2 linked regions of the Coturnix japonica genome follow. The protein of the gene in region 2 purifies or fractionates together with the protein of the main gene of each other region. This does not show direct contact. Links are inferred from orthologs where the notes say so. Each region holds a gene or a part of one and is shown on either strand. Other genes may lie near its edges. The genes, in order: KATNBL1 and KATNA1.

Region 1 (3,820 bases), on a different chromosome or scaffold from region 2:
AAGTAAATATTCAAACAGAGGTTTATAGCTTTGCCCAGTCTAGGACTGGAGACATAGTGGTGCTGAGTGTTTTGTGCTTAGATGTACAAAAGAACAGCGATTGTATTATGAGTATGGTACACTCAGGGATTACATGTATGTATCATGTTGTCCATGCAAGCAGCACATACCAATTTGGTTCTGTTCCTCTTCTTTCCTGTGGTCTCATCAGAAAATGTTCTAGGTTAGGAATTCTGTTGTCAAAAAGTTTTCCCTTGTCAAGAGATGGCAAATCTGAGAGGTGGGGTAGGAGAAACAGTTCTTAAAACATTGAATTTTACTATAAAATAAACATTTAGAAATTAATATTCAAATTATTGCTTATTTTTTAAGGGTTTTATGTATCTGTATGGTATAACTCAAATGAATTGTTAGTCCTTCATGATATTAACATTCTTTGCTGCCTCATTGGCATCAGGATGCTTATTTTTCCTGTTAGTGAATCTAGGATAATCAAACTGATTCTACCAACGTCAGCCTTCATTTTTTGTTATTGTTGTGCTTTGGAGAAATGTTTGCTGCTGCCATCTTTCCTGCATCTGCTAATCTGCTGGATTGTTGGCAATTAAGTGTTTATCAGAGATGGGTAATATTGCTTTTTTTATATTAGTCACAGTTTTTAGTTCTGTCAGTCTCTGATGTCACAATCCTACCTATTCCAAAGGCACCACAAACCTTTAGTTGATTGTGGTGCCACAAGGACAGCTGTACATCTGTATGTCACTGTGAAATAATTTGCAAAAATGCTACTGTAGCTGTGTGTCAATGAAATAGAGAAGGTGGCTGGGAGGGAATCTGCAGTGAATGCATTCCTTGAAAAAGCAGTGATACTGTTTGAGTCTTTTTAGTAATAGCCTGACTTTCTTTATTCCCTTTCTCCCAGGATAAGAAATCTCCAAAACAGCTGGCTTCATACACAAACAGGTAGGAGGGTCTTTCTGTTTAGAGTCTGAAGTTTCAGGAGGGAGCGAAGCAGGGAGGAAGAAGCAATTTAAATTTATTACAACACCCAAACTGTCACAATGAAAAATGGTAACTGTACTGACAGTGCTTGCTATTTGCCCATTTATGTAATGACTTTATTTTTAAAAAAGCAGAACAATAATATTGGTGGTAGAACTTATTTCTGATAACTCAAGTGTCATAAGGCTGTGTACTGGGGGTAAAATGTTGAAGTGGCCTGGAAGTTTAATGCTGAATTCATAATGATATATTTTAGATTCATATGAAGTATTGACTTAGGTTTAGAATTACCTTTACTAAAATATTCATGTGTTTTTGCAGAATAACAGTTGGAAAAACGGTGACCAGTCCCCTATTTCTCTTCAAAGCAGTACATTGTAAAAGAAAAGTCTATAGTTACACTGCAAAGCCTTGTTACAAGAAGAAACAGTTCCCTAAATCAAGGGGCTATAACATGGCAAATAAAGAAAATGAACTAGCTTGTGCAGGGAATCTGCCAGCAAAACTGAATGATGGTCGAACACACTTGCTGAATTCTAGTGACTCTGGCTCGTCTCAAACAGAAGGCCCCTCTTCCAAATATAGTGCATTTTTTTCAGAGGTAAGTTGAGCTTAAAGAAATCTGAGTTCAACATAAGTATTTGTAGTAGTTTTTGTGTAGTTGGCTGTGAAAGTTTTTATCGACCAGATTAGTTTTCTTAACATACAGATTGGCTCAGTTTGTGATTTGCAGTCTTTATTCCTCGATAGACTATGATTTAGTTGCCAGCAGTAGTAGTCCTGCCACTTTATCAGCACAAACTTAGATCTGACATCAAGCACCAAGTCAAAAATGTTGTTTTGTCCAGGTTAGATTTTATGACTTAAGTGGCCTAATTTGTTTTTAAGGTGTTATTGTATGGCTGGAAATAGCTAGTGAGGTTGGATGGGACTGTTTTTAATAGCTTTAGCTTGGTGTCAATGACAGCAATTTAAATTATTACATAAGACTGTTCTTACAGAGATTAGTAAGTATTAGTATGAGTAAAGTATTATTCTTTACTCATAGTAAAGAATTTCCTCCTAATATCTAACCTAAACCTACCCTTCTACTTAAGAAACCATTACCTTCTTGTCCTATCACTGTTCTACATGAGCAAGTCTCCCCATCTTTCTTGTAGGCTGTGTTTACATTGGCCTTCTTAATGTTTCCCCAAAGTCTTCTCTTCTGTAGCCTGATCAGTGAAAACTCCCTCAGCCTGTCTTCTCAGGAAAGATGTTCCAGCCCTCTGATTATCTTCATTGCCCTCCTCTGGACCTGTTCCGACAGCTCTGTGTTGCTCTTGTGCAAAGGGTCCCAGAGCTGGACGCATTACTGCAAATTGGGTCACACAAGAGCAGAGTAAAAGGGATCAACCACCTCCCTCAAACTGCTGGCCATGCTTCTTTTGATGCAGCACAGGAAATACAATGGACTTCCTGGGCTGTGAACTCACGTTGCTGGCTTATATTAAATATTCTCCAATTGATAAGCATCTAAACAAGCACTTCTCAGAGTTGGTGAGACTTAAAGGTTAATGCTTATGAGTGCTCTAATTATTAGATATCTCAATTCAGGTGTTTGCAAACTTTATTTCTGCAGATTTTGGGTAGAGTAGAAGGTCTGTTGGTGTCTGGTTCTAAGGTTGTTATTAGGAAAACTTCTAATAATTATACCAGGTGGTAAAATAGATTTTTATATACTCCAGCATTGCCATACTGAAGCAGCTTATTGTGTCATTGCTGACTACTTAACTTGCAGTAAATTTCTTCTGTATTCTTAAAAACATACAGGTTTCTCAGGACCATGAAACCATGGCTCAAGTTCTGTTTAGCAGGAATCTGCGGCTGAATGTTGCTTTAACCTTTTGGAGAAGGAGAAGTATAAGTGAACTGGTAGCCTACCTAGTGAGGTAATTTTTTCTCTCTTCCTCTGTATTCTTAAAGTGTAGCAAAACCCAAATATGATGCAGTCTTTTAGGGTTTCCTTAAATCTTGTAAATTAGCAATAATTACTTATTAATGGAAACACAGTTGAACCTATGTTCGACTAGTGATACTTGTTTTATCTTTCATGTTTCTAGGATACATGATCTTGGAGTTGTAGTAGACTGCCTTCCTGTGCTTACAAACAGGTACAAACAGAAAGTGGGACATGTGAACATGCTGTACCCACAGTGAATTTCTGGCACTTCTGAAACACCTTGTTTTTTTGTTTTTTTTTTTTAAGTTTACAGGAAGAAAAACCATATATTTCAGTTGGCTGCTGTGTAGATCTTTTGCCTTTAGTGAAATCACTACTTAAAAGCAAATATGAAGAGTAAGTATCAATTTCAGATGTCTAAATGCTCTTCCTTGCTGCTTGTGTTTTGCCCATGTATTTAAAGATGTTTTGTCCTCTGTCTCATCTTCCTTTCCACCAACCCTGCCTTTCTTGGGATAACACCTACCTAAAGGAGCCTCCGCATGAGCCCTCGTGTTGTTTTTAATAACATTCAGAAGTTTAAATTAAAAAAGAAGAAACTTCTGCAGAGTTAAGAACCACAGGGGAGGAGTTGCTTTTTGATGTCATGTAGATACAGTTGTAGATACAGTCATTCTAAACAGTAAAGCACAAGGGCAGCGAGGTTTCAGCATTTTCGGTAACACAAAATCAGTAAGACTTTCAGGTATAAGATAAATCTCACTACTTCTAAAGAAGAACTTCAGTTTACAACTTAAAAAATAAGAACACAAGCAATTGTCTAAAACAGAATTTGTCTAGGTTTGTCTTGCAAGACAGATGTGTTGCTTTCTAAGT
Region 2 (3,820 bases):
ATAGTGGGTGTCAGGCCCTGATATGCGTGAGACTTCCTGGTTGAAATTAGACTGCTCCGAGATTCAAACTTCCATTAAGCACATACAAATAAACCAGTATCATAATGGACTTCATTTTTATATATCCAGGTACTTTCCGAAATCCAGTACATTTACAGATACACTTTTTCCATAGGAGTTCCTAAAATTCCAGCATCAATGAGCTACCAGCCAAGTTTAAGTTTAGGGATGTTTCTATAGAACAGAAAATGGAAAAGTGATTTGGAAAGCATTTATCCAAATCAGAAGATGTGTTTTGACGTTTCATTTAAGATTAATCAGGATAAATTACCTTCATAAAAGTTGAATTTAACTTATTCACAGGAGAAGGTTTGTCAAAAGCATACAACTGCTTCAAGTGAAATGCAAGTTAGGTACCAAGAATATGCTAATGATAAGATTATAAGCATTAAAGTCTTTTCACTCTCCAAATGAAGTATTTACCAACCTACACTTGTGTTTATGAATATTTAGCCACCTCTGGATTCCATTACAAAGCTCAAAGTAAAGGAATAATCTGTTCTGACACCTCAGTTCCATCAAAATTAGTGTGTTCTGCTGTCTCAGTATAGAAACCTACAGAAATTATTCCAACACAACATGACCAGTTTTCACTGTGGCTTTTTCATCTTTACAACAACCCACCAGCTAACCAGCTGGCATAGTAAACGGAACAGAAAGAGTTCTGTCCACCAAGACTTTTCCTTTTTAGAGGTGTTCCAAAGTTATTAAATGAGATAAACAGAAACAATGTGAACAAAAGACCCATTTCTTTCAGAAAGCAGGCTTAAAATAAATCTGTGAGAAACGGCCTGTAAGCACAGAGCCTCAAAGAACAATCTGACCATACAGCTATGTAGGTCTAACAGTTACATTCTGTCAAAACACACAGTTCCACACCTGTCTTGCATGCTCTCCTGTCCTGTCCTTCATGCTATCTCTACCAGTTGTTACAAACTCCAGCTAAGTAGTGCAGAAAGCCACCCTCAGGCAAAACAAAACAGAACAAGCAAATGAGATTTTGTTGGTTTGGGTTTTTGTTTTGCTTAACAAAAAATTATGCAGCTGGTGTGTTATATAACTCGTATAAACTCTGGAACAAAATCTTCACAGGAACAGGCTGAAGTCAAAGTACACTTTGCACTGGTAAGTGTTAATACAAGTTACTTCTTACCTCCGCTCAGCAGGTACTGGCAAAGACCAGACTTCTGCATCATTAGCTGGTAGTTCTTGTTGTGAAGCTTTCAGTGGAGTACTGTCTAGTTTAAAACTCTCTAGTGTTTTCATGATATCTTTCACGTGCTTAGCTTCCACGCTTATCTCCTGCCAAACCTGATAAATAGGGAAAAAACAACAAAAAAAGTGGATTAAACACAGTGGAACTAAGTAAGTTTGAAGCAGACTTCTGCTTAAGACTAAGTAATGCCTGGATGGTCTTCACAAAGTTTTGTAAACTACCTGATCCTACTTTGCTAAACCATTAAAAACATCCTTCTGCTTTTCCCAGGATTAAGGAAAAGATTTTGAATTAAATACTAATGAGACATTTGACAAACTTTGTTTAATAAACATTATACATGAAAAGAGAACGCAACTTTATAGAGGGAACGTCAATGAAGAATTAACGTCTTGTGATAAGGATAAATTAACATGGAAGCCACAGGTCAGTTTCAATTAAGGATCTGTAAGTCACACTACTGAAACAGGGATTACGTGAAATATGATTGCTGAGAACAGTACTAGCTAGAAAAAAACCCAAAACTTCAGCACAGCAGGGGCACAGATCAGCAAGAAGAAGACAAGGCAGACAGTGCAATGGCTCCTCATGGATGTGTTTCATAGTCTACTTCATCAGTATCAGAGCATAACAAAGCCTTAAATATATACATACTACAATACTACAGTTTATCAGAGAATTATACAAATCTTTTTATACTTCTGTTCACCACCAACAAAGCACTTTCTGCTAGTTTAATGCTTTACCCTCAGAATGATGTCCCAGAAATGGATTATTTACCTGTTGCCACTTCTGCTGCAGGTACGTATCTCTGACAGAGTAGAGGTATTTATTCATCTGGTCAAGAACTCCCTGATAGTAGACCATTGCAGAGTCATAGTTTCCCAGTAAGGCATATTCACGGGCCAGCTTTACATTCTCACTGATCATAACAAGGCTCATGTTCAACATGAAGCTGAAAAAGACAGCAAACACTTACATTAATGAAAAAATCCAGGAGGAAAAAACATTTTCGCAACTATTTTTACATTATTGTTACCCTAACAATCATATCTAAATATAGAAGTGGGAAATACTTTGTTAATAAAAGAGTTCTAGAATGTATGTCGTCCATACAGAAAGTTAATTGTTTCTCTATTGAAAGAAATGGAACTTCTCATTTCACGCAAGACAGACTCTGATGAAAAGTATATGCAAAACATGCAGATTTAATGCATGTTTACAAGCCAAAACTGCACACTCTCCTTCCCTCTTTGCACTACTGCAAGATAATTCGGTATCTTACTGTTAGTGCTACAACATCCTCTGTTCTATAACCATAATAGTTAAAAAAGAAGAAAAAACAAACAAAAAAACACCCACAGCCAAAAAGCCCCAAACTTTCCTCCAGATGCGTTAGCGCTACAACTATTAACACAAGTACAGCAACAACTGGACTAGAATAGAATATCAAGCAAAAACAGGAGTAGGGCAGACTCAGACTCAGTCTTCCCAATTCAGCCTTTGTTCATACAGCAGTCCTCCTCTGTTTTACATATCATTTACATATCTCATTCCACACCTGCACCATCTCTATCCTTCCCATTGCTTACTCACCAAGAACTGACCTGCTCTCCTCCAAATTGCCTAGAACTAAGCACAGAAAACACCCAAATAAGCAAATAAACAAGCCTGTGAGAGTTGTCTTGCTCTCATTTCAGTACCTTTACCCAGGACCAGTAAGGAGCAATTGCAGACAAGCAATTACTGCTAAGCCCTGGGATGAAGCATACTTGATACAGATCAACTATTTAAAGAATGTAAGAGGCACTGAATTCATACGCACAATAAAAGGACTTAAAACAAAACATATTTCAAGACCAGGTCATGGTCAAAATTGGACACATTACCAGAGGTGTCAGAAGTCGTACTGCACACCAGATAATCCACAGCTAAAATGTGATGTTCCCTCCGTAAGGAGGAATCACAGAATTATCAAGGTTGGAAAAGACCTAGAAGATCATCTAGTCCAACCATCACCAATACTTCCCAGTTAAACCATATCCCCCAACACAACATCCAAACGTTTCTTGAACACCTCCATGGTCGGTGACTCCACCACCTCCCTGGGCAGTGCATTCCAGTGCCTAAAGGAGGAGCTGCTAAGTACAAATCAAACATTTTAAGGTTTCCGCTCCTCCTTTTTCTTTTCTCCTCACACGTAACTTTATGCATGGATTAATAAATGCTGATCCATTCTTAAGCCAACACAACTTCCTCCTTCCTTTCTCCACCTGCCTGGTTCCCCTCGAAGCAGGAAGCTGATGAGAAAAGCTTCAGCCCTAGCAGCAAAATTTGGCAGCAGTGGAGTTGGCGAGCAGCCCCACTAGCCCATGTGTAGCCACGTGCAGGGCCATGCAGGAGGGATGGCACCTGCAGGGCTGGGTCTGGAAGCTCACTACTAGAGCCTGCACCACACAGCTCATTCTGCCCAGAGACCTGCTGAGCCTGCCACAGCCGCATCTGCAAACTGGGATGGTTCCCGTGACCAGCAACTACAAAGCC

The links.
Region 1: the proteins of KATNA1 (region 2) and KATNBL1 purify together in Homo sapiens (affinity purification with mass spectrometry; 3 studies listed by BioGRID and IntAct, counting the BioPlex papers as one, with this or other methods). This does not show direct contact. The link is inferred for Coturnix japonica from reciprocal best matches to the Homo sapiens genes KATNA1 and KATNBL1.

The regions. Positions count from the first base shown.
Region 1 is NC_029520.1:26,549,215-26,553,034, reverse strand, and holds part of KATNBL1 (KATNB1-like protein 1), read left to right. Parts: intron 1-922; coding exon 923-963; intron 964-1,323; coding exon 1,324-1,603; intron 1,604-2,814; coding exon 2,815-2,933; intron 2,934-3,104; coding exon 3,105-3,155; intron 3,156-3,250; coding exon 3,251-3,340; intron 3,341-3,820.
Region 2 is NC_029518.1:43,361,130-43,364,949, forward strand, and holds part of KATNA1 (katanin p60 ATPase-containing subunit A1), read right to left. Parts: intron 2,232-3,820; 5' UTR 2,228-2,231; coding exon 2,057-2,227; intron 1,372-2,056; coding exon 1,214-1,371; intron 1-1,213. UniProt on the Homo sapiens protein: Catalytic subunit of a complex which severs microtubules in an ATP-dependent manner. Microtubule severing may promote rapid reorganization of cellular microtubule arrays and the release of microtubules from the centrosome following nucleation.